4 linked regions of the Caenorhabditis elegans genome follow. The protein of the gene in region 4 interacts with the protein of the main gene of each other region in a pairwise test. Each region holds a gene or a part of one and is shown on either strand. Other genes may lie near its edges.

Evidence for each region.
Region 1: the proteins of zyg-8 (region 4) and T21B6.3 interact in a two-hybrid assay, tested with the Caenorhabditis elegans proteins (one large-scale study listed by BioGRID).
Region 2: the proteins of zyg-8 (region 4) and Y57A10A.24 interact in a two-hybrid assay, tested with the Caenorhabditis elegans proteins (one large-scale study listed by BioGRID).
Region 3: the proteins of zyg-8 (region 4) and pdi-3 interact in a two-hybrid assay, tested with the Caenorhabditis elegans proteins (one large-scale study listed by BioGRID).

The regions. Positions count from the first base shown.
Region 1 is NC_003284.9:10,943,894-10,951,519, reverse strand, and holds T21B6.3 (Apple domain-containing protein), read left to right. Parts: upstream 1-2,567; 5' UTR 2,568-2,617; coding exon 2,618-2,675; intron 2,676-2,850; coding exon 2,851-2,931; intron 2,932-3,195; exon of another isoform or gene 3,196-3,259; intron 3,260-3,275; coding exon 3,276-3,362; intron 3,363-3,614; coding exon 3,615-3,842; intron 3,843-3,889; coding exon 3,890-5,607; intron 5,608-5,656; coding exon 5,657-5,787; intron 5,788-5,836; coding exon 5,837-5,893; intron 5,894-5,947; coding exon 5,948-6,053; 3' UTR 6,054-6,360; downstream 6,361-7,626. Other genes in the region: K09C8.7 (uncharacterized protein), read left to right, coding at 203-298, 380-480, 567-663.
Region 2 is NC_003280.10:12,240,441-12,248,994, forward strand, and holds Y57A10A.24 (EB domain-containing protein), read left to right. Parts: upstream 1-2,505; 5' UTR 2,506-2,554; coding exon 2,555-2,817; intron 2,818-3,525; coding exon 3,526-3,645; intron 3,646-3,749; coding exon 3,750-3,935; intron 3,936-4,500; coding exon 4,501-4,635; intron 4,636-4,835; coding exon 4,836-5,042; intron 5,043-5,701; coding exon 5,702-5,811; intron 5,812-5,871; coding exon 5,872-5,986; intron 5,987-6,475; coding exon 6,476-6,820; intron 6,821-7,013; coding exon 7,014-7,095; 3' UTR 7,096-7,189; downstream 7,190-8,554. Other genes in the region: txdc-12.1 (Thioredoxin domain-containing protein), read left to right, coding at 1-155, 1,180-1,532; tag-276 (uncharacterized protein), read right to left, coding at 7,882-7,962, 8,243-8,554.
Region 3 is NC_003279.8:7,014,246-7,022,775, forward strand, and holds pdi-3 (Protein disulfide-isomerase), read right to left. Parts: upstream 6,546-8,530; 5' UTR 6,543-6,545; coding exon 6,312-6,542; intron 3,772-6,311; coding exon 3,546-3,771; intron 3,500-3,545; coding exon 3,376-3,499; intron 3,320-3,375; coding exon 3,206-3,319; intron 3,156-3,205; coding exon 2,856-3,155; intron 2,777-2,855; coding exon 2,548-2,776; intron 2,186-2,547; coding exon 2,109-2,185; intron 2,058-2,108; coding exon 1,892-2,057; 3' UTR 1,667-1,891; downstream 1-1,666. Other genes in the region: chd-1 (Chromodomain-helicase-DNA-binding protein 1), read right to left, coding at 258-494, 547-689, 834-963; ubql-1 (Ubiquilin), read left to right, coding at 7,737-7,829, 7,952-8,057, 8,103-8,410, 8,519-8,530.
Region 4 is NC_003281.10:12,059,084-12,065,584, forward strand, and holds the start of zyg-8 (Serine/threonine-protein kinase zyg-8), read left to right. Parts: upstream 1-2,629; 5' UTR 2,630-2,655; coding exon 2,656-2,842; intron 2,843-3,841; coding exon 3,842-4,748; intron 4,749-5,770; coding exon 5,771-6,004; intron 6,005-6,501. UniProt on the Caenorhabditis elegans protein: Probable kinase. Kinase activity may be involved in positioning of spindle poles in meiosis and mitosis. Plays a role in spindle positioning during asymmetric division of one-cell stage embryos.

The sequences.
Region 1 (7,626 bases), on a different chromosome or scaffold from region 4:
ATGAGTGTCAGGGTTCAAATACACCGGTTTCTGAAACAATTCATGTCAAAAATTGAACGAAACCATTACAAAAACTGTGATACATATGACGCCATCAATCTTCGTGTTCACCTCGTTTTACCTCACTAACTGACAACATCATCACGTCGCCTTTCTTTTATTCTTTTCACTTACTTTCATCACTTTTCATCGTTTCCATCTCATGACTGTTAAAATTTACATCGTTAGTTGTTTATTGGTTGGTGCAGTGTTGTCGCAATGGCCGTATGCCCCAAATCACTGGTATGGAGCAAATCAGGTGAGCTAGGTAAACATCAACAATTTTTATTGCTTAAAAATGTTTTTTTTTTTGAGAACATATAACATTTTTGCTTTGCAGGGAAATATACGGTCAGGAATAGTTCCTGATTACAACCCTGTCCCTAATGTCCAAGGAGGTACATTAGCTCCACACATTTGCGGATTCAACACTTTTACAAGGTACGTTAAGATTGCGTAAATTATTTGAAAAAAATATTTGAGAGAAGTTGACACTGACAGCAAGTTATTAAGTTTTTGTTCTGCAGAAAATGTATGGATCCTGAAGGATATTGCCCTGGCAAGTGCATGAACTTCCGTTACACCTACAACACTTTATACGACTGCCGATGTCTTGCGATTTAGATGCGTTTTTCTTTTGAATTTTGAGTTTGGTTTTCAGTTTTAAATGTTCACCCGACCCTCTGTGTATTTGTATATTTGTATGTATTTTTTCATTCCACATTGTTGCACATGTCTGGCTCATATGATTTGCGTATTCGTAATATAAGTGTAATAAATTTTTGTGATACGCTAAGGGATGATGAACGTAAAGAAAATGCTGCGGAAAAATCAAAAAGTGACACTTGTGACGTGGTCACATGCAGTCTGGGATAAAAATCAGAATATGAAATGAGTGTAAAATCTAATTTTTGTTTAAATTGGAGACTGAAAGTAGAATAAACCAAGAGAAGTGGCACATTGAATTTCGGGGGGGGGGGGGGCAGTTTTTTAAAATTACTTTCCGATAATTTGTACTCTCTCACAGTATTTTTGATTCTTACGGCTGCATAATTTCGATTGAGTTTGAAATTGCATTCAGCGTTGTAATGTGCCCAACTGCCAAAATGAGACGACTGGTTTTGGATGTATTTTTTTAATACTTACAGTGAAATTTTTAGTGATTTGATATATTTTAAATCATAAATTATTGTCTCCATAACTCCATTTTATTCACCCACAACTGGTAGTGATTAAGAATGAGCTCTTCACATTTTTTGTAATTCCACCTTAATGAGTCACCGCCTATCAATCATATAATCTTCATACTTGCTTCATTCCAAACTCTCTGCTTTGCTCTTGTCTTGCTCACTTCTCAGCAGAATCTCATGTTTCACCTGAACTTCTTCTTTCTTCGCTTCTCACTGATTCGTGGAAAAAATTGTCGCGTGTGCTTCCGTTGCCCATACCGCTTCTGACTTGCTCTTATCTTTTCTTTGCTTTTCTTTTTCGTTTTTCGCCTGACACATCAGCCACCAAGCTTTTATTAAAACACGAAGGATATGATTTGTTCATCAGCACTTGTCAGCAGCTCGCTCAAATTTCGACGTTTCGGATGCATGCTTTCCTGAAGTTTGCAACCTCGAAAAGCTCGCATGATATGGGTTTGTCAAGAAACCAAAAGTTTCGAGTTTTTGAGTCGATTCCTAGAATGTCATCAATCTCATCTTCGAACATTATAGTATAGTTTCCGAGCAACAAATGACCGCGGTGGACCTCCTCAAAGTGATTTTAAATTGAACAACTGTGCAATAAATAACGAGGATGAAAAATGTGTGCGAAATGTTGTGTTGTGTTGTGAAACGAAGAAAAGTGCCGAGGATAAAATATCACTCAAAGTGGAGTTGATGGATATGTGACGACATAGGGAGGAGAACTTATTTTGTTTAGATATGGGGTTTTAATACACCAAAAGACATATGAATAGGAACAACAAATTCCAATTTCAAACAGATTACCTATGAGAAAAGCAATTTTGTTTTTTTTTTCACTTGAAAGTTTGTATACTTTTTAAAATTAATTGTTTTTTTTTAATCTTTGCTACTTCCTGAAGGCAACATGACTTTCTGACCCGCACAGGTTTGCTCAATTCTGAATAATTTCTGTTTTGGTCTAGTATTTTACTCTTCAAGACTCGATCATAATCAATGCATACTCGCAGGCTTTGAGTTCGATTTGAAAACGTTCTCAGCATCCATTACTGCTTCCTGTTTCTCTCTAACTTTTCTGCTCACCGCACAACTCTTTTTGATCTTTAGCCTCACTTTTGGTTTGAGTAGAAGCGTAGAGCATTTTTCCTTAAAAAAAATAGAAAGAAAAGTTGATACCTCTCTTCTTTCCTATACTACAGTAGTATTTTCAACCCCCTTCCTCATTCTTTTTATCACTCCCTGATGTTTCAGCTTCTTCTTCTTCTTTTTCCTCTTCATCTTCTTCTTTTTCTTACCTCTCTTCTTGTTTCTCGACTCCGCCCAGTATCATCGTCAGTCACTTGTTGTGCACTCTCGTGTCCGCGGTCCCGTCCATTATCAGCCGCAACATGCAGGCTACTGTAGGCTTATTCGCCTTAGCGGTCTTGTTCTGCCTAGCCGACGCAGGTGAGTATATATGTTTATAGATGGAAACTGGTTTGAGGTTCAGCTTTCATTATGAGAGGGCGAGAAGTAAGGTGTAATAGGTAAAAAAATAAAGCATGAACCTCAAGCTTGTCATACACAAAAGGTATTACTAACAGTGAAGTTGATACGCAAGTGTAAGAAAAACAAGTTTCAGGTAGAATCTCGGTATCCAGAGGAAAAAATGTCACAAAAATTGATGATTTGTGCGCCAGAATGCACAACAACACTGCTCTTGGTAAGTTCATTGAATTACATCAGGTCATTTCCCCTGAAAAATTAATATTTTATCTCATCACTATAATTCATTAAACTTCTCTAGGTTTTAAAAACTGTATTGTTCTGAAAATCTTATTTTCCTTTTGAATATTATTGGTTTCTAATTAACATATGCGTTTCACTAAAAAATTGATACAAGTCATCTAAAAACTAGTATTTCTAAAATCATTGATGAAAAATAAATTATTGTTTTAGTTTCATTTATTGACAATTCACGCATTAGGTGTTTGCAGCAAAACAAACATAAATCAATTATCCGTCATTAACTTCGTGTGTGTCCACGTACCACTTTGATTATTTCAGAAGGATCATCTCCATTGCTGATGATGCAGGCAACCGCCTACGAGTGTCAGAAGAAATGCGTGGACATCTTCCCAGAGTGCTCCGCAGGTAAAATTTTCATTTTTGCACCGGATCCTATCCGGCCCAAGAAGATTGATGTGATGTGTCAAGCAATATCTATAACAAATGACACTCATCCGCAAATATCTCTTTTTCTGCTTCTTTAACTGATTGCTTTTGCAAATTTACACTGCCCCTCCTTGATTCGCAAAACTCCGTCTTCGAAATTTGATCTCTGCGTTTGGGGTCATGAAGACTAAAAAAACATTAACTTCACAAAAAAGTTCAACTTGTTTTCAGTGGTTTACTACTACTTGCATAACGAAACAAAGAAGCATTTCTGCTACCTCTTCTCCGACAACTCGGTTCAAGATAAAATTGACCTTGTCGAGCAAAAGCCAGAAAACAAGAAAGATATTGTTAGAATGCTCGAACTGGTCGTCGACTGCCACCAATTTGATGCTCATCCACCACTGGAGGAGGACGGTTTGGCTTCGTCTACCGATAAGGTTGACAGAAAGAAGAGACGTAAGATTTCGATCGTTACTTCGGTTTATATAAAGTTGTGATTTTAGAACAAGGCGATGAAGCTGTTGAAGGAGTCGGAGATTGGACAGATTGGTCCCATTGCTCCAGTAACGGACACGAGGTGCGCTCTCAGGCATGCGAATACGGAAGAAAAATCCAACGTCGTGGATGTCCAGCTAGATCTGCTCCACAAAGAGTCCCAGCTCCACCAGCGCAGCAGTATGCGCCACGTGCCCCAGAGTACCCAAGTGCACAGCAACAGCAGCAGCAAAGGGAACAGCAACAAAGAGAACAACAACACAGAGAACATCAGGCTCGTCTTCAGCAGCACCAGCAACAACAACAACAACAGCAACAGCAGCAGCAGCAACGTCCACCACAGCCACAGCCACAACCACAGCCACAGCCACCACAGCGACCACCACAACAGCCACAGTCCTTCTCTGGAACTCACGAGCTTCATCTTCAAAGGCAGAGAGAACAACAGCAGCAACAACAACAACAGCAGCAACAACAGCAGCAACGTCAACAAAATCCACAGCAACAGCCACAACAGACAACACAGTTCGGACAATCTCAAATCCAACTCCAAAGTGGGCCAGTCCCTCCACAACAACATCCGCAACAGCAGCAGCCACAGCAGCAACCAGAACTTGAGCGTTCTCCACTCGATCAACATGCTCAACTCTATCAGCAGAGAATGTCTCAATACCGCGAGAACTTCAATCAGAGACATCCAGCTCGTCCAAAGGCTGATCCATGCCCAGGAGGTTTCTGCGCCCCAGTTCCACAGGCCCCACAACAAGAACGCCCAACACCACCGCCAGTTCTTGCTCCAGTGATCAACACTGCCACTCAGCCACCACTTCCACAGCCCTACCCAACCAGATATCGTCCAGCTCCCCCACCACCGCCAGCATGCGATGGACAAGGATGTGTCAACCCACCAGTTGTTTCTGGAGTTTGGCATGATTGGTCTGACTGGTCTACCTGCTCATGCACCTGTGGAGATGGAGCTAAATCAAGAAGACGTGAATGCTCCACCAATAACTGCCAAGGAGCTGATTATGAGACTGAGCCATGTAATCTTGGCCCATGTCAGACATGGTCTGAATGGTGCGAGTGGTCAACTTGCTCTGCTAGCTGTGGATCAGGTCAACGCGAGAGAACTCGATTCTGTCATCTTGGTACAAACAGATGTGAAGGAAAGGACTACGAATCTGAGCAATGCAGTGCTGGACCATGCCCAGAATGGTCTCAATGGGAAGATTGGGGACAATGCTCTGTGACTTGCGGACAAGGAGTCGCAGTTCGTCAGCGTACATGTCTCGGAGGTGTTTTCGGTGATCATCTCTGTCAAGGACCAAAGACTGAACAACGTGCCTGTGATGGTGGACCATGCTCTCTTTGGTCTCCATGGCAAGAGTGGTCTACATGCTCGGCTTCATGCGGAAGCGGAATGAAGCGGAGACAACGTGTCTGCCAATTTGGAACTGATTGCCAAGGACCAAACGAAGAGAGCCAATTCTGCTACGGACCTCCATGTGCCGAGTGGACAGAGTGGTGCGAGTGGTCAGGATGCTCTTCAAAGTGCGGACCCGGACAACGGACTAGAACTCGTGGGTGCCTTGGACCAAACGGGCAAGAAGCCACTACTTGCCAAGGACCAAGTATTGAAACTACCCTTTGCGAAGGGCAATCTTGCTGCAACTGGTCTGAGTGGTGTCACTGGTCCATGTGCGACAAGGAATGCGGGGGTGGTCAGGTGAGATATATTGAATATATGTTCAGAACGGGGTAATAATGAATTACAGTCAATTCGCACTCGTACATGTTTGAACAGCGCTGGAAGTCCGGATTCATCATGCCACTGCGATGGACCAGATCGTGAAGAAAAGGAATGTAACAGTCAGTCATGTGCTCCTCAATGCGCTTGGAATACTTGGTAGTTAAAACTGTTACATTGGTATTAATTAGTTTTTTCAAATGTCCAGGTGCGAATGGAGTCCATGCTCAACACAACTTGCATGCGAAGTTGGAGTACAATCTAGGTCTGAAATAGTTTTTGATGAAGACATGTTAAGAATCTGAATTATATCTTACAGAAGCCGTCAATGTGTTGGAGAATCCGGATGTCACTGCATCGGTCTTGCCGAAGAATCCCAGCAATGCCGTGGATTGACTCAGTGCCCACCAAAGCCACCATGCTAATTTTTTGTGTTAAAAAAAATCAGTCAGACAGGGTTACATCGCCCATTTCTTTCATATTTATGTTTTTCAATTTGTACTTATATTCAATACTTTCATACAACACCGCCTCAAATAGTCGAATCTCTATATCTAGTCAATTAATTGTATTTTTCACGTCTTCCATTATGCAAATGCCTTTCAACGATAGGTTAAATTAAAGTTTGTTTTATCTTTGAAATTTATGTTTTAATAGCATTCACTGCCATAATTTGCATTTTCAATGTGGTTTAAATTTTTATTCTTAAATTCTACAATAAAGTTGTTTCACAGCCCATTGAATATAACATCAAAACATACAAGCCAGTTAACATTCAAACAAGCTTTCAATCAAAGTGTTGTACAGTTTCAGAAAACCACTCCTTAACACGAATTTTCATTAAAGTATATTGGTATTTATTAACCAAGTTTGCTGATTTATAGGTAAAACTAAAAATAGAATCAGATGCAGGTATACAATTATCAGTTGTTTAGACTGTCAGCAGAAGATAACATGGGATCAATGCTATTTTTAATTGTTATGTAGTATATGCACCCCTCCATTATCTAAATTATCTCCCCCTTCTAGGAGATTCATACAACTCATTGATTAAACATGATAGAACATATGTACTCGTTGTACTACAAGGGTGCAATACCCAATATTTCTTGTTGCCATCGTCAAAATCCTTCAAGAACAAAATCCTTTTCCTCGACATCTTCATTTGTGGCACATCTTACTTTCCATGTAGATCTTGAAGGATGTGTCAGAGTTTCCGATTCCTATAATAGTTTCTTTACTAAATGTTCCATATTTTCTTGCCCTATCTGAATTCAAAACAAGTTTCTCTTCGGCAATTAAAAAATTGTAATTTAAATTTTTTTTTTTCGTCACCTTTACTAGTGATTATTTTGATTTTTCCACCAGATTATTCTCTTAATGTGATGTTATAACATATTTTTCTACTCTCCTCTCGTGAAAGATTGACCAAGATCTCTTATGTACCCAATGTATTTGAAAAACGCCTATAAATAAATATGCATACATTGCAAACCGTTTGTTGTGGATTTTGGAGGGATGAATTATTTTTTGAACGTTGTTCTTCCGTTTAGCCCGTTTTCTTACAGGTAGTCACAAGTTACTCGCACAATATGGACCACCTCGTTGTATTATCGATTATTGGCCTCGGCGCGTCTATAGATTCGGTACGTACTGAAACAGTTTCAATATGCATAAAGAACATAAACAGTGTTACAAGTTAAAAAATATATAAATGATAAATTCTATTTTCAAACGGGTTTTTTCAGAAACGTGAGAAGAAAAATATTAGCGTTGGAAAAAAGATCGCATTCATAAAGCTTGGTTATTTTTGTACATACAGATATTTATTTTTATATTTTCAGACATCATCGTTATTGTCCTGAGGACAGGTTAAGATCTTAAACGTGATTCCCAAAGTAATATTTATTAAATAATAATAGCAAATACAAGTTGGTTGAATGATTGACTGAATGATTGAGGGGTGCTGCAAGAGGCCAAGAAATAGTCTTATATACG
Region 2 (8,554 bases), on a different chromosome or scaffold from region 4:
CGACAAGATCAAGGATTCTATTCAAAACCCATTGGCACGTGGATTTGGTGACGATATTGCGTGGGTCAAGTGGGAAGATGCAATTGAGACTGCTTTGGATACTGATAAGCCAATCTTCTTGTTGATCCACAAGTCTTGGTGCCATGCTTGCAAAGGTAAGAGCGGCAGTTGAGAAAATTTAGGCAATTTCTTATAATACGTGTGGTATCACACTGTCCCATCACGGTTTGATCTACAAAAAATGCGGGAATTTTTTGCTCTAAAAATGCGACGTCAGCAGGTTCTTAATCATGCGAAATCATTTGAGAACTCTGCGACTCTTCTCCCGCATTTTTTGTAGATCTAGGTAGATCAAGCCGAAGTGAGACACCCTGACACCGCGTGATTGATTACATGCTTCACTAATAATTTGAAATTTAATCATTTTATTCAACAAGTTAGTCCAATAGAGCGCACATTCACATGTCCCTTCCCCACTGCAGCTTCGATTTTCTCTCCGGGTAACCGACCAAAGACAAGAAAGGAGAGGGATTTATTCATCCTTGACACACTTTTTTTTATTAATTCAAAGAATGGTGTCAGAACACCTTGTAAACCACAAAGCTTGTACATATAGTTTTCAAGGGAAAAATCGGGAAATTCAATTGATATTTTTCGAAAATTGCAAAAAAAAACGTGCAAAATTTTGAATTAAGAAAAATGCACATTTGTACAAATTTTGGGAAATTCAAAAATTTTCACGTGATGGGACCCGTGTGTGGGCGAACCACAGTTTAAATTTGATGTAAAATAATATTTATAATTTTTATGACTCAACATTTGAAACTTTAAACATAATTGTATTCGTTTAAAAATTTGTGAAAAAATTGAAAATTGGTTTTAAAAAATTTGAAGTTTAAATATTTCAAGTCCAGAAAATCCAATGCGAGAAAAAACCTCAAAATTTTTTTAAAAATTCCAAAAATTATATAAAAAATTATTTTAAAGCTTTCAAAAATTCAATAAAAATTCCAAACAAATTCCACTAATCTGAAAAAAGGATAAAATCTATTGGGGTCCTAAGCCTAAGTTTGAGCCTAAGTCTAAGTGTAAGGCTACGACTAAGCCTAAGCCCAAGCTGTAGCTTACGTCTAAGCCTAATTTTTAAATGTTTCAATTTCGAATTTTCAAATTTTCCAGCTCTCAAGAAGACCTTCCAACAATCCAACGCCAAGAAAGCCTTCAAAAAGCTCTCAGAGCACTTTGTAATGGTTAACACCGAAGACGACGACGAGCCATTCGAGGAGGAGTACCGTCCAGACGGAAAGTACATTCCACGTCTGCTTTTCCTCGACAAAAATGGAGATCTTCTTCAAGAATTCAAAAATAAGAAGGCCGAATACAAAAATTACGCGTATTACTACTCATCACCAGCTGATATCCTTAACTCTATGAAGGATGTGCTTAAACATTTTGGAGTTGACATTCCAGAGGCTAAGAGAGGTGATAAGCTTAAGCCAAAGAAGCCAGAGGGAAAGAAGAAGGAATTGTAAGAATAGAGATTGTTTTATTGATTTATTGATTGATTTTCAGCTAATTTATTTCTTATCATTTCTTTGCCAATCTTGTTAACTATTATTAATTATTATCACGAATAAACTGGTTCTCGATACGTCGGTTTTTACGAAAAATTTAAATTCGCGCCAAAAACCTTTTCGAAACCTCGAAAAAATTTTAAAAATCTTATGAAAATTGCATTTTGTGCCTGAAAATTTTTAGCCAATTTTTTAGAAAAAAAAAAAGTTTTAGGAAAATCTGTGACATTTTGAAAAATTCAGGAAAGTTTGAAATTCCAGCCAAAAAACTTTTGAAAACTAATTTTTTGAAAAAACTAATTTTTTGAAATTTTTGAATTTTGCATTCATTTGAAATTGACTTAGGCATAGGCTTAGGTCTAGGCTTAGGCTTAGTCTCAGGCTTAGGCTCAGGCCTACGCTTAGACGTAGGCTTAGGCTTTGGTTTAGGCTCAGGCTTTTTTCGGTGATTTTAGAAAATCTGAAAAGCTTTTTGAAGTTTAAATCTGAACAAAATTTTTTTTGTTTGAAAAAATTTATAATTTCATGAATTTTTGAATTTTGCTCTCGATAATTGTTTAATTTAAAAAAATTCAAAAAAAATTTGAATTTTGCCACAAAATAGGAGATTTAAAATACACCGCCCACATATTGGTTCAAATCTAAATCAAGGCTTTCATGGGAGGCAGGCGCGGTTTCAGGGCCTGACGCCTGTCTGCCCGCCTGCCTTCCGCCGCGGCCGACACTTTTCGGGTTCCGCACTATACAGAAGGCCCGAGGCAGGTGAAGGTCGCCGCAAGGTAGGCACACCAGGCCTTTTGGCGCCTACATGGAAGGATTAATCAAAACCAGTTTCCTAAGGGATTAAGAAACTTTCTCTCCTTCCCTATATTTGAGTAGTTATGTAAACATCCTCATATTCAGAATATGTCACGTCTCTTCTCCAATGTTCCGAATTATTTTCCTCTTATACATCGTCGGGTCATTTCTCTACCAGCAATATGAATTCGCAGTTTGAATTTCGAAATTTAGTTCTAAATTCCCAATTTCTTTGGATTTTTCTAATAAATCTTATCACCTCTGCCAATTCTGAAGCCCTAGCTTCTCCTTATCAGTATCTGAAGGATCTTTGCCCTGTTGGACAGCTTCCACTAACGGATACGGAGCACGTGAAGACGTGTGCAAGCTTATGTCCTCTTGGAGCATTTTGTCATAGGGGTATATGTTGTGTACCGCCACCGCAGTGCAGGCATCCGGCTTATAGGTGAGGAAATTTTTTTTTGAATTTTGTGTTAAACTTCGCAGATTATATATTGTTTTTTGAAAACAAATAATTTTATTTTACCGCCAAATTGTTTTTAAATGTTTTCAAATATTTAAAATTGGCGCCAATTTTTTTTGAAGTTTTTGGAATATTTAAGTTTGGCGCCAAAATTGTTTTGCAATTTTTAAATAATTTAATTTGACGTCACAATGTTTTAAAATTTTTAAAATATTTAAATCTGGCGCCACTTTTTAAAATTTTTTTTAAATATTTAAAATTGGCGCCAAATTTGTTTTGCAAGTTTTTAAATATTTAAATTTGGCGCCAACTTTTTTTGTTGATATTTTTGAATTATTTAAAATTGGCGCAAAAATTGTTCTGAAATTTTTTTAATATTTAAAATTGGCGCTAAATTTTTTTTGCAATTTCTAAAAAATTAAATTTAGCACCATTTTTTGAAATTTCTTTTAATATTTAAATTGGGCGCCAATTATTTTTGTTGATATTTTTGAAATATCTAAATTTGGCGAAAATTGAAATTTTAAAATTTCTGTCAAAATTATCAAAAAAAAAAATTATATCAAAAAAATTAAAACTTGAAGCTTGCCCCAACTATTTTAAAGATTCAAAAACTGAAAGTCGCGCCAAAGTTGCTAAAAATCTGAAATTTTGAATTTCGCGCCAAAAATATTTGAACTCAAACTTCAGGATGTCTACCGGCTTTCCATGTCTTCCAAAACGTAAGAATAACTGCCCAGATGGATCATTTTGTGTATCAAGTAGTCAGGATGGAATGTCGATATGCTGCTCAAACAGGAGCATTGAAAAGTTGGTGATTTTAAGCTCCGCCCACTTCTTGGTTTTCTGGGAGAAGAAGACCATTCTAAAATAAAAACTATAACTACAAATAAAATAAATCCATATTTTTACAGAAGTTTCCCGATAACATCACAATTAAAACTCTCCAAATCTGCACCGTTCCCAAAGGAAAAGCCGATGCAAAAATCCACGTCATCACTGATGACGTCACTAGACTCCTCCCAAATCTGTCCGAAATCCCATCCAATTATTGCACATGATGGGAAATCTCTGGTTTTGTGCAAGGATTGTGTTCAGGGGTTAGTTTTGGACTGCGTTTTAAAAATTAAAAAATTTATTTTTAAACGAAAATGTTACCTAAACTCGAAATTTACAATTTTTGCACCAAAAAACTGGAGAAAAATTTTTAGTGCCCAAAAAAATTATTTTTGAACATTTCAAATTTTTTTAGATTTTTCAGAAAGTTCACATAATATTGAAGATTTTGATTTTGTAAATTTGAACAAAAGCATAAAACTGTTTGTATCACAAATTAAATTTTTTTAACATTTGAACATTTTGGGTCCCACCACGATAAGTTTCAGAACCGATATTTTCCTGGAAACTGTTATAGAAAAAAAGTAAAAATTCAGATTTATTTCGGGGTACCCCGAATTCAAACAAAATATCATAATATGAAAAAAATTTTTAAATCAAACGTTAAATAATATTTCGAATTTTTGGGTCCCACCACAAAAGCTTTTTTGCCGAAAATTTTGTGAAAAAAATTGGCAAAATTGTATGTATGATGCTTTAAATTTAACATTTCAACTAATTTAAAAAAATTAAATTCGAAAATTTTTTTTTCAAATTCTATATTTTCAGAGTTTGCGCAAAATTCCGCACCAGTAACGTAGAGGTATGCTGTCAAAGTTCTGACGATATTTGTGGTGTTGGAAGTCAAATTTTGATGAATGGATTGGTGCCGAGGGACTGTAACAAGAAGCCATGTGGGATGGGGTAAGTGAATTTTACAGCTCAAGCCATGCTCTTAAAATAGCCAGGAGCTAATTTTTTTTGCTCGAAACTTTCCGAAAAACATCTAAAACTTGGAATCAATTTTTTGATTTTTTGAAAATTAAAGTTGAAATTTCACAAAAATTTTTAAACATTTTCAGAACTTCTAAACTAAAATTGCACCGCAAATTTCAAATTTCCAGCTACGAATGTTCGCTAACCCCGACGGGTCTTCGTGTATGTTGTTCGTTAGCCCAATGCCCGTCAGGAGTGTTTGCGAGAAGTGTGTGCGCAGCCGGATGTTTGAGAAATGAAAAGTGCATGGAAATTCAGAATGAGATGTGGTGTTGTCCATCCGAGGAATCATTCGGTTCAAGAATTGAGATGGTTTGTAGGAATGGGGAGAATGGGTAAGTTACTACATTGTACTGTAGTACTGTATACTGTATAGTGTACTGTTGGGGTACTGTAGCTCAGTTTCCGTTTGTCAAAAATTATCAAAAAATTTAATTCAGTGTTTATCATCCAGAAAATAGCCTTAATATACCGAGTATAACTGTAGAAAAATTTATGGAATTTCTCTAAATTTTTCTAAATTTTTAACGATTTTTTTTCAATTTTGCAAAAATATTTGATTTATAACACTAAAAACTATTCAAATGCCAGAAAATGGAGCCGTAATGACCAAATATATCTGGAAAATTTTTAAATAAATTTTCTAATTTTTTAAAATGATTTTTCGTCAATTTTTAAAAAATCTAAGAAACGGCCGAATTAAATTTGAATTCCCGCGCAAACCATATATTTCGGCCGTTTTTTAAATTGTTGAATAATTGAAAAATCATTTTAACAAATTCGAAATTTTTTTATTAGGTGCTTCTATTGAATTTTTCTACAGTTACATTCGGTATATTGAAACTATTTTATGTCATTTAGAGCAAAAAAAACTTCCAAAAATTTTATTTCCTCGAGTTTTTTTAAAATTTCAAATGTACTTGATTGTCTAGATTACTGTAGAAATGCTTATGACTCAATTACAAAAAAATCCCAGTATTGATTCTTATTCCAGAACCGGTGAAAAATGTGACCCAGCTTTTCCGGCGTGCTCACAAGGAGCATTTTGTGAGCTGAACAAGGAGAAGACCGCCCATATTTGCTGTAAGCGGTATAAAAATCGACGTGAGTATTTTATTGCTTAAACCTATAAAAACTAAAATTCAAGAAAAAAAAAAATTTCAGTCGGCAACAGCCGTAAAACCCTTCTACCCCCTCCATTCTACTACACTACAACTACTATGAAGGCTCCCATAACCATAGCCACAACTACTGCAGAACCATACCCTTTTGAATCTGTGTAGGTTGCTTAATTAAAGGCAAAGTAGCGCCAGAGGGGAAAGTGTTTAAAACTACTCCATTGGTGTCAAAATGATCGAATATCATTTTAAAAAATTTCAAAAAATTTTTGAAATTTTTTTATTTATTATCAAAAAGTGACAATTACTCAGTTTTTGCCACTCATAATTTTGGAAGTCAACCAAAAAAAAATTTTTTTCTACATTTTTTATACTGTAATTTTTTTTTAATTATTTGTATTAAAAAATTGTAGGGGTTGGAACATGCGAAATTGCTTTGGATTTCCTCAAAGGCTCATATTTTTCAAAATGTTTGCAATTTTCCAAAACTGACCGGGAATAATGAAAAATCTAAAAATTTTTGGACTGTTTGTTAATGATATTTGGTCATTTGAAATAATTTTAAGTGTATTTAGACACAATCCCCACTGGCGTTACTTTACTTTTAAACCATCAAAGGTATCTTAATCATATCTTAATATTTATTACAGTCCAAACTGCCAAGACCCTGAAGCCCGTCCACTCATGGAAAACGGCTTCCCATACATTTGTGATCATATCGGAGATCCGTGTATTCTTCGATCAGGATATTCGTGTCAAGAATCTGATATTGATGATGTCTATGTGTGTTGTACTATTCAAATGAACCGAATCCTTCCACCACAGATTCCAATGATTGGGCCATTTACGTTTATGACGTCATCAACTACTACAACTACTGAGAAGCCGATTGAAGAGGAAGAAGTGATTGCGCAGCCGACATGCCCATTTTCATATATGCCGTCGAAAAATGTTAATCAAGATGTGCAGCGTTGTCTATCACTGTTTACGTTGGAGTGAGTTCCAGAAAAATAAAAAATAAAAAATTTTTTTCGATTGTTTTTTGAAACTCTAAAAATCAGTATTATCTTATTATCTTTATCCAATTTTTTAAAATTTTTTTTTAAATCGGAATTAAAAAAATTCTAACATACATATATTGTTGAAAACGTTTAACGTTCAAAAATCGATATTTTAAAATAATTCCAGCTGCCCACTCGGCTACACGTGTCTACCATCTTCCACTACCGACAGTTATCTATGTTGTATTCGGAAGCCTGTGGTCTATTAGGCTTAATTATTGATTTTTGTTTTTTTTTTCGAATATTTGTGCCAATTCTATATTTTTTAAATATTTTTTTAGCTAATGAACATGTTTTCAAACAGTTTAATTTAAAAACAGCCTAATACAAAAACTTGGAAAACTAAGCCTAAGCCTAAGCCTAACCCTAAGCCTAAGCCTACACCTAAGACTACACCTAAGCCTAAGCCTAAGCCTATGCCCAAGTCTAAGACTAAGCCTAAGCCTAAGCCTAGGCCTAGGATAATGAGAGCATTTTCAGACTGCTCTATAAAGCCAAACAAAGATTTTGCAATAATTCATAACGCATTCGATTCACAATAACAAGTTCTTTAATAAAACTATAAAAATGTAAAAAGTTAGGAGTCAAATTTTTATTTATTTAACACTGAAAAATTGGAGTGTGTAGATAATGAGAGCATTTTCAGACTATGTTTTTTCAGAGCTGACGCCAAGCTTATGCCTAAGCCCAAGCCTACGCCTAAGCAAAAGCCATAATTCTGAAAATCTAAATTCAAATGTTAGCATCCAAGTCTGGGCTCAACGGTCCAAGCCTGAAAGCTTAAAAACCTAAAGCCTGAATATTTTTGCAAACATAAGTAAACTGAATTGAAGTTTTATCTGTGATGTACAGTTTTAATTGACAAGAAACATTGCAATCGGGATTAGTTTTTTTGAAAAACTGGATAATAAAAATGAGGGAAAATTAGTTGAAAACACAAGAAAATAATGACAGATTATGAAAAATTGGCAACGAATATAATAAGTTTGGTAAAATTATACGACTGGGGAGGAAGAAGCCGACGATTCTTCGGATGAAGAGGAGCTTGATGGTGACGTGGATGATTGTTTTGTAGTCTGGAAAGTATTAGTTTAGGTGGTTTGGTCAGGTTTAGAAATTTTTTTTTAAATTTAATTTGGTGCGAAATTTTATTTTTATTTTTCAGGCCAAATTTACGGCGCAAAATCGGTGTAGATTTTTTATTTTGAAATTTTTTTAAATTGCAATTTAACTTAATATGTAGGTATTTTAAGTACAAAAATAATCGAAAATTATTTTATTATTTTAAAAATTGAGTTCGTTTTCAGAAAATTAAAAAGTTCTCAGCAAAATTTTAAAATAACAACAAAAACTAACCTTGGAGAAATTTTCCGCTTCCTTTTGCAAATCCGCAAAAATATTGAGCACATTGGCGAAGAGCACCTTGTTCTTCGAAGCCTCCCGCATCTTTTGCTCCACAACATCCTGCTCCAACTCCTGAGCAGCGAGACGACGAAGCTTCTGGAGCAACAAGTTGACTGGGTACTGGTACTCATACCGTCCATCATACTGGCTCTTGACAATTTGCTCGGTACGGCATTCCCGGAATACTCGAATCGGGCAGTCGAGGAAGAGAAGACACTCCAGTGCATAGTACCGGTTGTGCTCTTTGAGCAAGTAGTCAGTGTA
Region 3 (8,530 bases), on a different chromosome or scaffold from region 4:
TATTTTAGTTTTAGAAAAGGTCTTTAAAATGAAGTTCGGACGAAACTAGTTCCACATTTTAGTTTTACGACTCATACTTAAAAAAATTATTAAATAGCTTTAATTTTAAGATGTTTTTAAATTGAAGCTAATAAATGAAGGAAAAAATAATTTTTGCGGCCTACTGTATCAAAGGCGCATTACTGAATTACATTTTCTAAAAATATTTTTCGCGGAGAGACCACTCGGCGCTATATTTGAATATTTCAACAACTCACGTCATCATCCGAATTTTTCTCGGCATAATTAACATTTCCTTTCACCGACTTCCGTTTTACAACTGAAACTGCTTTTTTCGTTTGCTTGACAACTTTTTTTGTTACTGTTCGCCGTGGTTTTCGTCGATCATCCCAATCATCTTCAGAAGATTGTGATTCTTCGGAATTATCCGACGGTGAATCATCTTGTCGTTTTGATCGTTTTGAACGTCGAAAGTAGTTTTCATTTTCAAGCAGCTGGAATATATTAAATTAATTTCTGTTGTGTTTTTGATCTTTGGACACATACTTTTCTTGTTTCTGCATCCATCCCCCGATTATTATTATTTTTCTTCTTCGGGGCAGGTTCATCTGGTTCTGAACTTGATGAGTTTTCACTAGCATCATCACTGTCGTCACTTTGATCAGAAGAACTTTCAGGTGAATCCGCAGCTGGAAATTGAGTCAAATAAAAATAACTTATTTTTTTAAAATAGTATTCGTGTAATGTAACATTCTTTTTTGTAGTTCACAAAATTTCAGATACTTAAGATTTTAAATGTATTTGATGAATTCTGAAAATAGTTAATATCCAACCTTTTTCTTTTTCATCATTATCTTCACTGGTACTGTTTCCTTCAGGATTTTCTTCTTCCCTCACAGGTTCATCTGTTTTCTCATCAGGTTCTGCATCACTCCCAGATGATGATTCAGACTGATTCCACATATCTGAAATTCTTATTTTTTCTCAACAAAAAACCCCGTAAAAATTCCAAAAAGACGGTAAAATTTAGCAAAATTTTGTTCGATTATATTTATATTCATAAATATTACTATTTTGATAACTATTTTAGCTAATTTTAGCAAACAATCTTATTAATATTCAAATTATTTCATTTTGGCGCCGATACCGTTATATTTACAAGAGGAAAAAAATTCAAAAAAAAAATCAATGAAATCACTGACGTAAAATCAAAAAACTTTTTTTTCAAACATCACTAAACTATAATAAAATAACATCAAAATAATTCAAAAATTCTCAAAAGTATGTGCAATTTGTTAAATACGGTACTAGATCCCCGTTAACATCGGAATAAAAAACAATTGCACTAGGCCCATTAATAGTACTTTCCGGTGCAATTTCCTATATTTTTTTAACTGAAAAGGGTACTAATTAAATTTAGCTGTCTATAGAAAACATTTTAATCGAAAAATTCTGCTTGTGAGCCAAGAAATCGGTCCAAAAAGAGATGCGCACTTCAGAAAAAAGCGAATCGCCCAGCCATGAACACCTCACAACCGCGACGCAACCGCTCGCGATCAAAAGTGCTCGTTACTCTAACCGCGAATTCAAACTTGCATTTTTAGTCAGAATAGAGCCTCCCACATTGATGCTTTTCATGTATTTGTGTGAGAACAACTCAAATATTAGAGACCAGAAGGTTTATTGGCAAAAAAGGCGTACGAAACGCCATAATGAAGGCACCAAACGGTCCTTTTTACATCATAAAACAAGAAAGAAACCGTGAAACAACCGTCAAGTTGAAAATTCTTCGATTGGGAACCCTAGTCGAAGCTGCAAACAATAAATAAATAAATTACAAAAGGGAAACAACGAGGGAGGGATTTGATAAAAATTCTCTATAATTATCCAATTACAATTCAGTCTTCTTCTTCTTCTTTCCGTCGCGGCTGAAACCCTTGAGCCCATCAGTAGAGTGCTTTGAGATGAAGCTGACGAAATCCTTAACTTCGCGTCCTCCATTGTATGGGATCGGGTTCGACTTAGCGTTCTTTGGAAGCCAGAAGAGAGTTGGGAATCTGCAAAATTATACAAATAATTCAGGATCAGCATTGGATAAAATTACTAACCCTCTAACTTCGAACATTGGTGGAACATCATTGGCGGTGGCATCCATCTTAGCAATGATAACATCTTCCTTGTTGAGCTGAAATTACAAAATTTGAAAGTATTTTACAAATTATATCACAAGCCTGAATACTTTAAGTGTCTCCCAGTGTAAACTTAAATATTTAAAAAAGTTTAATTAAAGTTAACTTGTATTTTTGAAAAACCTTTCAGAAAGCTTATCACAAAAGCACTTTAATAAATAAAAAATTACTATGTAAAAAATAACTTGCATGCTAACTTCTATTTTTATTTTTAAGTTTTTCTCACATTCGTGTTTCAAAATAAGTAAAAAATAAACTTTTTAAATGTGAACTATGGGAAGATGTTTAAAAAAAACCAACTGTTGCGAATTCTTATTCACAATACGTCGTATTAATTTTATGTAACAAAAAATTCTACCTTCTCAGCAAGTTCCTCGTATTTTGGAGCCAATGATTTGCAATGTCCGCACCATGGAGCATAAAATTCAATGAGCACATCCTTATCAGCATCCATGATAAGTTCCTTGAAGTTCTTTCCAACGGCAACCTTAACGTCTCCTTGTTCATCTGGGATTGGCTCAGACTTCATGTATGGTTCGGCATTTCCGGCGAGAACTTCATCAACGAATTGCTGGAGATTGTCAACGCTGAAATTATTATTATATTAAATATCGGTTGAAAAACATTGAAATTATTTTCTGATAATATATCAGAGCTTTAACACACCTGAATTCTTGGTCCATTGGATACTTTCCTTCATTAGTGAGAATGGCAACGATTGGCTTATCCGAGTCCTTGCGCTCTCCTAGTCCATTGGTTTCAATTTCAGAAGAGAATTCTTCTTTGTTGGAAACGGCGAATTGAACTTTTCTCTTATAGTTTTGAGCAACTTTCAAGACACGGTTGCGCCAGTAGTTGGATCCCTTAGGATCCTTGACGTAATCAACGTTGTAGTAAACAATGACGATTGGCTTTTGCTCGAATTGGAACAAGTTTCCTTGAGTACGAATTCCGGCAAATCCAACACTTAAAATATGATAATTAATTACAAGCACAATAATTTAATCATGACTAACGTTTCATGGACCAAGAAGTTCTTAATCTTATCGGTGTCGTAGTTACCATCATATTTGAACTCGTTAGTGTCAAACTTGTTATGGAGCTTTTTTGGAACGAAGACAACGACGTCACTGAAAAATAGCTCATTAAATTATCAGGAACATGCGAATTCACAATTAGTACTTACTCAGAGTATCCAGCCTTCTTGATGATGTCTTTGTTGGAAGTGTGAGCGAAGGAGAAACGATCACGTTCGGTATCAGCAACCTTGAGATAAGAATCCTTAAGCTTGCTTTCGCTCTCGAAGAATCCTTTAAATAATTAAATTTAAAAAAGCCAAGAAATAAATCAACCAACCGATGACAACATTTTCATCTCCACCAGTGAACTTCTCGAATTCGGCAACGGTCTTAAGTTCCTTGGAAGAAGGTCCCGACTGTCCGCGCATGAACTTAACGATACCATCGGCATCACGTGGTCCATCGTAGTCTTGGGCTGGAACTCCATTGCGGAAGATCTTAAGAGTTGGGAATCCCTTAACTCCGAATTTGTCACAAACAGTCTTCTCGGTGGTACAATCGACCTGAAAAAAAAACAATGAGAGAAATACATATGCGTATTTAATAATGAGTTCATTCACCTATGTGAAATGCAATAAATATTGTAAAGTCACAAAACGTATTGAAATATAAGTTACGACACCATGAAATGTTTTTCAAACTTTGGATATACTTTGCGAGACCATGATTCAGAACAGGGGTGTGCGGCAAATGGAAAAAATTGCCGAGCTCGGCAAATCGGCAATTGCTGGTTTTTCAAAATTTGCCGTGCTTAACAAACTCGGAAAATTTTGATAATTTTTGATGTTTTTTGGAACACCAAAACTACCGAATTCTTAACACACATCTGGTTTCTGAATTAGTTCCGTGTAGTATGTCTGCTTAAGCATAAAACTAACTCAATTTTGTGTCATTTTACTAAATTTTTGGCGAAAAAATCAATAATTTTACTCAAAATTGTACTGTAAAATTTTTGACGTGTGCGGCAAATTTCGAAATTTGCCGAGCTCGGCAAATTCGGCAAATCTACCTTTTTGAAATTTGCCGTGCTCGGCAAATCGGCAATTGCTGGTTTTTTCAAATTTGCCGAATTCGGCAAATCGGCAAATTTGCCGAGCTCGGCAAGTCGGCAATTTTCGGCAAATTTGCCGCACACCCCTGATTCAGAAATCCATTGATTATGTATTGGAACATGGCCACAACGCTGCACTTTTCGTCATATTGCAGAAGTGAATAAACAAGATGTGTCAACCAAAATGATTTGAACAGGCTCTTTCAACATTATTATAATACACCCACGTTATTACTATGTGATCGTCACTATCGTCGTCCAATAAATAAAACTAATCGATGAAATCTTTCCAATACCTTGAAACGATCGAATTAATCAAAAAGTATTCGGTCATGTTTTTGATTCTTACTATTAGGATACTGAAATTACCTCTATTAGTGTCACATGCCAGACTAAGCTACGAATGACCCTTAGCTTTGGAAACTATATGACGCAGTTGAAAAAATACATATAAAGAATATATTTGAAAATTTTGAAACTATTCAGGCAAGTCTATTAGAGGCTGCATCACTAATTTTTGATCGACTCTCTTGGATGCGATATTGGCAGAGAAATCAGTATTTCATTCACATGCATCATCCTATTCCTTTTCAGAGATATTAAAACTTAAATTATTGAAATTCAACTTTTAAAAAAATGCAAGCTAATTCAAGCATTTTAAAATTAGCTTTAAATATCATATTTTCAATTCGAATTAAAACATGATCGACTGATTGAAATTGGAGAACATTTTCATTTTCACGACAACAGGGCCGGCTCCCGCAATCTAGGGTGCTGTGTAGCACATGATTTGGTGACCATCAAGGGTGTCAAGTCCCGTGTCCCGTTGTCCCGTTTTTTGGGTGTTTTCACGGGAACGGGACGTCCCGTTGTCCCGTTTTTAAAATTATCACGGGAACGGGACGTCCCGCTGTCCCGTTTTTGAGCGTTTTCACGGGAACGGGATGTCCCGTTGTCCCGTTTTTTGGGTGTTTTCGCGGGAACGGGACATCCCACTGTCCCGTTTTTGTAATTTTTACGGGACACTGACACCCTTGGTGACCATCCCTAACTACTTGTTTTCTAACGATAACATGCGTTGCTAATTTTAGAATCACGAAATTACAACGAAGTCGGTCAAATGAAGTTTTATGGCCTCTTTTCATTGAAAAAACTCCGGAAAATGTGTCAGAGCCGTACAACGCAAGGAGGTGGATCTTATATTTTCTCGAAAACTTGAGCGTGACGCCCATTTTTCTGGGTCTTTGCGGCAAGCTCCGCCTTTTTTCGGATAACACTGGGAAAGAGATTTCGAGAATTTTACAAAGATACACGTGAAAAGAAGAGGAATTGTTTGCCAAAAGGAACACCGTAAAATGTTTAATTGAAAAAGTCTGTCAATTACTGCTTCAAAAATTTCAAACATATACTATTCTCTATGGCAATGCACATGTGATAGATCGTTTTCGAGATAATATTGAATTTACTGTTTCAAAACTGAGAATTCTTAAAGGGGGGCTGGATTCCTATTACTAAACCGTGGTTCAAATCTTTGTTTCTTTTTTTTTACAATCTTCAACTTCAAAAACATAATCTTTTGTTTCATTTACTACCATATCGCACTCGTTTGTGGTATAGATAAAACTGTTTGCTACGCGACTGGTGTTTTTGCTCTTATCGTTAATTGATGTCCGTATTCTGTAGAGTAAAGACCTGACAACAAACAGTGATTTGATGCGTGGGAAAATGTAAATGTCGAGCCGATCTCATTGTCAATGGCCTTTTGAATACACAATAACCATTTTGGACCAGCATACATAATATATATGACGGACAAATGTTTCTATATGCATAAGGACTAGAACAATAAATTCAAAGAATCCTTTGTATGCATTTCATATATTTCTATTCAATGTGGCTTTCGTTGCTGTTTTATCAGCTTTCGCGTATTTGTCAGTGTCACTGCGATCGATATATGAGCGATGGCTGTGTAAATAAGTATGGTTATCTTACCTTGACGAGAGCGACTGGTGGATCGTTAGATGCGAGTTTTGGGGCAGCTCTCTCATACTCTGGGGCAATTTTCTTGCAGTGTCCGCACCAGGGAGCGTAGAACTTGACAAGAGCAATGTCGTGGGTTTGGATGAGATCATCGAAGTTTCCGTCGGTATACTCGAGAACGGCTCCTCCAGCACTGGCGAACGCCAGGAAGGAGGCGACCAAAGCTGCCTGGACCCAAATCATTACCTAAAAACTTTACCTATAAACGACAATCGATCGAGTGAGTTTAGAGGGCGAGAGATTATCGGGAACACCGACAAAAAGTTAAAAACTAAGAAACAAGATTAGAGGTTTTCAGATTATTCAGAAATATTTTCTAGAAATTGAGCGAACGATTGAAGAGAAGGGAAGGTGTTTTCGCAATTAACAAACCGCGATCGCATCGAAAACGTGAGCCGCTTGACGCGAAACGTGTTTTCGTGGCGAGATACCGCGAGCGGTAAAATCAATGCGCCTTTACTTTATTTATTTTTTTTTCGCATTTATTTTCATTCTTTTCTGTGAATCACATGTGAATGGACAAATACAGATTGTTTCGGGTTCAATTTTAAGTATTTACAAACACTTTTCAAAAATTATCTTTAATAAGTGGAAAATACAGTTAGTAAATAACTATAAATTTTAAGCTTAGAAGAAGAAAGCCAAAAAACATGTGTTGTATGGAGGAGAAATTTTATATAGACTCGGGGAGCGTTATATCACTTTTAATGATATTATTACTAATAATCCAGAAAATGCAGAGCAGAAGCATAAAAATAGACCCGAATTGTTAAGGTCCACGTGGCGCTCGTGTGTACACCAGGGATTGGTAGGAACTGAGCCAAAAACACGTCGTTCACTGCCTGTCGCACGCGTGTTGTGTGCCGATTGGCCTCATTCTTGTGAGAACTCCGCCCAATGGGTCTCGCACGGAAGAGGCGACCATCATGTGTCGATTTACGCAACTACCGCATCATTTTATTGATCATTGTTTTTTATTCATTTTATGACCTGATATAGAAGGAATCGACGTTAAATTGGAAGGCAAATTGATTGGAGCGCCATTTAGAACTTTAATTTCTTATTTTTATTGTAAATTTGAATCGATAAAAGGAACAAAAAGATCACCATGGAAACCAAATTAGTCATCACGTGCATATTGAAGCTCGCGCGTCAGGAAGAATTGTGTCTTCGTTTATCTTCGTTTATTTTCTATCGAAGAGACCCATTACATTATTACATTATTCGGTCTGAAATAGTTGCGAAATTTCTTTTTGCGCTTCGAGAATATTCTCGATTTATCGATGCAACGTGTTCTTTTCCGTCTCCGCCTCTCATTCTCTCAATCCTTTTTCTTTATTTAATTTTGTCGGTTTTTTAATATTTCTCAAATTTAAGATGGCTACAGAGAGTGCACTCATCAAAGTTCACGTGAAATCACCGTCGAACAAGTATGACGTTGAGATTGCTGCGGATGCATCAGTTTCAGAAGTATGTTATATTTTATTTAAAAAATAAAATTTTGCTCTTGAGAATTAGATAAAAATTCAAGTGATTATTCCATTTTGATAAATTAAATGTGTAAATCACAGTGTTTAATTAATATTTTACAGCTAAAAGACAAGGTTCTTGTGTTCGTTCCAACTGCGAACAAAGAACAAGTTTGTATAATTTACACCGGAAAAATTCTGAAGGATGAAGAAACTCTCACACAGCACAGTAAGTTGAAAAATGTGTTCCAAAAAATAATAAACAAAAATTTAGAAATCGCTGATGGTCACACCGTCCACTTGGTTATTAGAAATCAAGCCCGTCCAACACCAGCGCCGGCTGCTGCAACACCAACAGCTTCATCTGCACCAAGTTCCAATCCAACACCTTCTTCACAACCGAATCCTACCAATAATCCATTTGCAGCAATGGGAGGAATGGGATCACCTGCTGATATTTTAAACAATCCAGATGCTATGCGTTCAGTTATGGATAATCCAATTACACAACAACTTCTAGGAAATCCAGAGTTTATGAGAACAATTATTCAATCCAACCCACAATTCCAAGCATTGATTGAGGTTCGAGTTTTTCCTGGATATTTGTTTTGTAAATTTTCGGATTCGAAAAATTATTTAATTTTTTAATCTTCCACATTTCTCTCGTATATCGACAATAAATATTTTCAGAGAAATCCAGAA
Region 4 (6,501 bases):
GGAGGCTCTCTCAATTTCGCAACGAGATCCTTCCACGAGAGGAGGAAAACTGAGATTTAGTGTTCCCATGGAGACGCAGACAGACTTCTATCAACTCGCTATTCAGTTCAAAAGCTCACGAGTTTTTGCGGTTAAGCCGGTCGAAATTGAATATTAGACGTTAAAATCAAGGCTGGAAATTAGAAATTTCGCTAAATTGCCATGTTTTCAAATTTTTCACCAGCAGTTTTTCTGGAAATTTCGAAATTTTAGTTTTTATAGTTTTTACAATGCGAAATTGAACCAATTTTAAAGCATTTTTCTTGAAATTCGAAGGAATTTGCCACGAAAAATATATTTTTTATGATTTTTTCTAAAATTTTTATGTCAAAATAAATCGAAATTCGACTTTTTCGGGTTTTCACAGAAAAAAAACCCAAAAAATAGTCTCGAATTCGGAAAAAGCGCGAAAAATTGAAAAAAGCCAATTTTAAAAAAAATTTTCATTTTGGCTGTTTGAATTCGCGAATTTGAATTTCCCGCCAAACTTTTTTTCTAAGAAAATTCGAATTTTCCCCGTTTTTTTCAGAAAAAATCGAGAAAAAGTTAACAACACGACTAATCAGCATATTCAAACTCCGCCCACTCCATCTGATTGGTTGAAAAGTGGGCGGCGCAAATCGCTGATTGGCCGGAGTTTTAAACTAGAAGAAACTTTTTTTTCCGCGATTTTTTCATTTTCTTTCGTGATATTTTTGAATTTTAGACTATTTTTTGAAGTAAAATCCCCATTCACACTACCTCACCTTCAGTATCACGGGCTTCTGGCCTTCCTCATTGAATTTTTCGCGCTCCATTGACAATCGCCTGCCGGACAACGCGTGGGAAAGTCGTGTACTCCACACGGACAAATACATTTAGTTTTACAATCGAGCCGCGACGCGACACGCAACGCAACGTAAATCTACCCCAGATTTGGCCTGGCCTAGTTCGGCAAAAAACTCTTCCATTTCAATTTATGGAGGGAAGCCAGAAATCCGTGTAATATTCTTATCACAAACCGCACCTTTTTCGGCGGAGACGCAGGTGGCGCTGCACAAATGAGAAGCTGTTTAATTGGCTCTGTGGTCCCTCCGGATACCCCCTAACTAATCCCTCGTCTATTCCGTCCCCCGGCTCTGCGTTGGCTCGCGCGCGCCCCTCCCGTCAGCCAAATCAACCCACAACAACACCCGTCTGCCCTTTAGCTCTTTCGAATGAGAGGAAAACGAGAAGCAGCTCACTGCTCACTGCTCTCTGTGTGCACGCCTAGTTAATTCCCACATTCGACATTCCATGCATTTTGGAGACCAATGCTCGCGGACAGCTCATTTTGGACAATGATTCGAATTGTCAGCTAGTCATAGCATAGTAAAATTATCTCCTTTTTTTTGGTGTCACGTGGCGTCTCATTTCGGTTTGATCTACCTAGATCTACAAAAAATGCGGCAGAGTTCTCAACTGATTTCGCATGGTTAAGAACGTGCTGACGTCACATTTCTTTGGGCGAAAAATTCCCGCATTTTTTGTAGATCAATCCGTTATGGGACAGCCTGATGGAAATTTTGCTTCAAAAATCTTTAAAAAATCGAAAAAAAAAATTTCTCAGAAAATTTGAATTTCCCGCCAAAATTATTTTAAGAGAAAATTTGAATCCTCGCCAAAACAAATTCGAAAAAATAAAAAAAAATTTCCCGCCAAATTTTTTTTTCGGAAAATTTGAATTTCCCGCCAAAATAGATATTTTCCGAAAATTTGAATTTCCCGCCAAAAAAAAATTAAAAAAATTTTGAATTTCCCGCCTAAATAGGTTTTTTTTCTCGAAAAAAAATTGAATTTTCCGACGAAATAGTTGTTTCACAGAAAATTTGAATCTCCCGCCAAAATAGATATTTTCTCCGAAAATTTGAATTCCCGCCAAAAAATTCTAAAATTTTTAAATTTCCCGCCAAATTTTTTTTCGGAAAATTTGAATCCCCGACAAAAATTTTTTTTCCCAGAAAACTTTAATTTTGCTCAGAAAATCTCAAAAAAATTTGAATTTTCCACTTTTTTTTCAGAAAAAAAAATTGTTTTTCTAAAATAACAAAAAAAAAGATTAATTCCCGTCTATAGCACTTGCACCATACCCGATTGGAATTGTCCTCCTCGATTTTTAGTTCATTTTCTGTCCAATCTTTTGATTTTGCATTCCTTTCTCTTTTTCATATCCAAGGCCCATTCCGGTTTGATCTACAAAAAATGCGGGAGAAAAGACACAAATTTCTCAATTGATTTCGCATGGTTAAGAACGTGCTGACGTCACATTTTTTGGGCCAAAAATTCCCGCATTTTTGGTAGATCAAACCGTAATGGGACGGCCTGTTGCCACGTGGTATATCCCCACGTGGTGTCAGGCAGTCTCATTGCGGTTTGATCTACAAAAAATGCGGGAACTTTCCCCCAGGAAAATGTGACGTCAGTACACTCTCATTCGATGCTAAATCAGCTGAGAAATCTGCGTCTCATCTCCCGCATTTTTGGTAGATCAAACCGTAATGGGACGGCCTGACACCGCTCCGTCCTCCTCTCGTGGTTGCGCCTAACTATCGCTAATTTGGTGTTTTTTTTCGGTGTTAGACTATCTCTACTCGAACGATGCCACAAACGTCGGCGTGGCAGCTCAACGACACAACTGCTAGACCACCACCACCACCACCACCACCTGGATCTGAAGCTGGAGGATCGGATGGAGCATCTATGAATGGAGCCAACACATTGCCACGTGTATCGAAGAGGGTTTCCGCTGCTGGAAAAACGTCGAATATTCCACGATTCAAACGACGTAAGAATTGAGTGTTTGGCTTGAATTTCCCCGTTGGTGGCTTGCTTGCTTCAGCTTACGGGATATGGTTTTTTTTAATGATGAATCCGTGAATTTTGCAACAAAAAAGCAGCGTCGCACAGAAAAAGAGGCGGAGCGTAATTTTGCAACCCTGCGGCACGGTTTTTTCTCCTTTTTTTCTGAATTTTTTTTTTCGATTAATTTCATTTTTTTTACAACCATGAAATATCCTCACAATCTAATAATAAGTAAATTGGGTAATACTTTCATTCGAAAAAAGACAAATAAAAAATAGAGAAAAAACCGTGCCGCAAGGTTGCGAAATTACGAAATTACACTCCGCCTCTTTTTCGGTGCGATGCTGCTTTTTTGCAAAATTCACGGATAGATTGTTTAATTTCAATAGTACTGAGTTGAAAACTTGAAAAAAGAGACATTTTTATTTGTAAAAAGCTATTAAAAAATGATTAATACCGTCAGACTGTTGAAAACGATTTTTCCGGCAAATCGACAAATTGCCGGATTTGCCGGAAAAAAATGGCCCCTAAATTTTCCGGCAAATCGGAAAGTTGCCGGATTTTAAATTTTCCGCAAATTGGCCGATTTGCCGGAAAAAGCGGCCCCTAAAATTTTCGATTTTTCTATTTTCCGAAATTCAGAAAATTACCCATAAGATATGATTTTTTAAAAATCTAATTTTGTTTATATATTCATGATAAAGAACATCTAAAAATAAGAACAATGATCAAAGTTTAAGCGAATTTTTAAAAAATCGAAAAAATTTCGAAATATCGATTTTTCGATTTTCAAAAATCGAAAAAACCGACACCCTTGATCGTTATCACTATTCGAAAATAATTGAATCTAAAGAATCGAGATCCTGTAAATCTACACTACAGTAGTCATATAAAGAATTACTGTAGTTTTCTTTTCGCTACGAGATATTTTGCGCGTTAAATATTTTTTTGTGTTCCCGTGTAATATAATCCTAATTTCCAGCCCATCTCCCTCATTCGACACGTCCTCTCTCCGCAGTCTTGACATCATCATCATCTCCAGTTGTTCATAGAAAGATCAGTCCATCATCATCTGCTCCATCAACATCCTCCGCACATCGTCGATTCTCGCATCTTCCTCAACAACACTTCCACCATCATATTCATCACAATCAGACCGCAGTGATCAGTGAAGAAACACTGACAACTCCACGAGCATCGACTCTTAATCTCAATCAGACAAGCGTCTTCCCAACGGCAATTTCCCAGGGAAGCATGCCGAATAGTGGCACGAACACTGCGGAAGCGTCAATGACGTCATCCGTATGTGCCATGGAAACCGAGGGAACGAATGGAGATGAGCTCGCAGAGTCCAGGGATATGGTCTCAGAAATGCAGCGGAGGTGTCGAATCGGGCCATCCGGGTATCCGCATTTACTGAAAGCCAAGCGACTCCGGTTCTATAGAAATGGGGATCAATATTTCAAAGGGATTCAGTATGCTTTACAAAGTGACCGGGTGAAGAGTATGCAACCACTTATGGAAGATTTGATGAAAACTGTAATCTGTGACTCGACGGCTCTTCCACACGGAATCCGTCACATTTTCACGATCGACGGCGCTCAACGCATCACTTCCGTAGATCAATTCGAAGACGGCGGTGGTTATGTGTGTTCGAGTACCGACGCTTTCAAACCGGTCGATTATTCGAGAGCCGCCGAGCCAAGTTGGCGTCTGACACTTGCCAATCGATACAATCGACACTTGGAGACGAAGAAGCTGGCGTTGAGTGTCGTAGAGCCGTGTCATGAGAATACGGATTTCGTGTTTCCACGAATTATCAAGGTTATTCGGAATGGGGTGAAGCCAAGGCGGATTAGTAGGCATTTGTTGAACAAGAAGACGGCGAGGTGAGAGCAAAAAATCGCCCCGACCAATCAGCGATTCGCTCCGCCGCCCACTTTCCAACCAATCAGGCGACGTGGGTGGAGTTCGAAGGTGTTGATTGGTCGGGTGAAGTCTCATTTTGAAGGGAATTCAAAAATGATTGTTTTTTTCGCGTTTTTCCTATTTTCCTAAGGAAAAAAAAATTATTTTTCAACCAAAAAAAGTGGCGGCGATTCAAAATTTTGAATGAAAAAGACAAAAAATTCAAAAAAAAAATATGCGAAAGAACGAAAAATTCGAATTTTTCTGCGACCAATCAGCAATTCGCTCCGCCCATTTTTCGCCCAATCAGGTGAGGTGGGCGGAGTTTGAAGATGCCTAAACGAGAACTCCCGCCCACTTCTTCAGATTGGTTCAAAAGTGGGCGGAGCTAATCGCTGATTGGTCGCAGATTTTTTTTGAATTTTTTGTCTTTTTTCTTAAAAATGTTGAACCGTCGCAACTTACAAAAAAAAAATTTTTTTTCATTACGAAAATAGGAAAAAAGCGAAAAAAACAATCAATTTTGAATTCCCTCCAAAATGAAACTTTACCCGACCAATCAGCGCCTTCGAAACCCCCCCCCCCCCCCCCCCCCCACTTCATCTGATTGGTTGAAAAATGGGCGGAGCAAATCGCTGATTGGTCGCAGTGGGAATTTGTCTAAAATTGGAAAAAATCGGTGTTTTTTGTTTTTTTTTCGAATTTTTTCCCAAAAAAAACACAAAAACCCAATTTACACTGCGACCAATCAGCGATTAGCTCCGCCCACTTTCCAACCAATCAGATGGAGTGGGCGGAGTTCGAAGGCGCTGATTGGTTGGTGAAAATTCGGTTATATTCCCTCCAAAAAGAGAACTCCCCGCCCACTTCATCTGATTGGTTGAAAAATGGGCGCGGAGCTAATCGCTGATTGGTCGCAGTGGGAATTTTTAATTTTCTCGTTTTTTTTTTCAAATTTTGTCCCAAAAAAAAACTTAAAACCCCAAAAAAAAAAAAATTCCAGATCCTTCGACCAAGTGCTCCGTGACCTGACATTTGTCGTGAAGCTCGATTCTGGAGCAATTCGAAAACTATTCACACTATCCGGACGGCCTGTTCTCAGTCTACAGGATTTTTTCCGAGACGATGATGTATTCGTTGCGTATGGTGGAAATGAGAAAATGGCTGCCGATGATCTACTTGTGGCTTCGGAAGAGCACAAATCTGTTGGATCGGGAACGTCGTCGAATATGAGGAGGTTTTGTTGCGGCGATTTTCTGGTCAAAATTAGGGTCTCGACACGAAAAATCTGAGTTGAAAAATGTTTTTTAAAAAATCCATAGAATATTCTAAAAAATCGATTAAAAGTTTTAAAAATCGATGAAAATTTTAAAAAAAACCGATAAAAATAGAAAAAATCTTGAAATCGATGAAATTTATTTTTAAAAAATCGATAAAAAATTGCTGAATTTTTTTAATCGATGAAATATTCCAAAAAATTTATTAAAATTCGTTTAAAAAAATCGATAATTTTCCTTCTTTTTTTTTGTTAAATTCTAAAAAAACTGATGAAAATGAATCGATTAAGATTTAAAAAAATCTATGAAATTTTTTAATTTTTTAAATTTAAATTTTAAAAATCTGTAGAATATTCCAAAAAAATCGATGAAAAATTGTGAATTTTCCGCTCAAAAACCGCAATATTTTTTTTATTTGAAAGGACCAAAAAAGTAGCGAAATATTTTCGAAAAATAA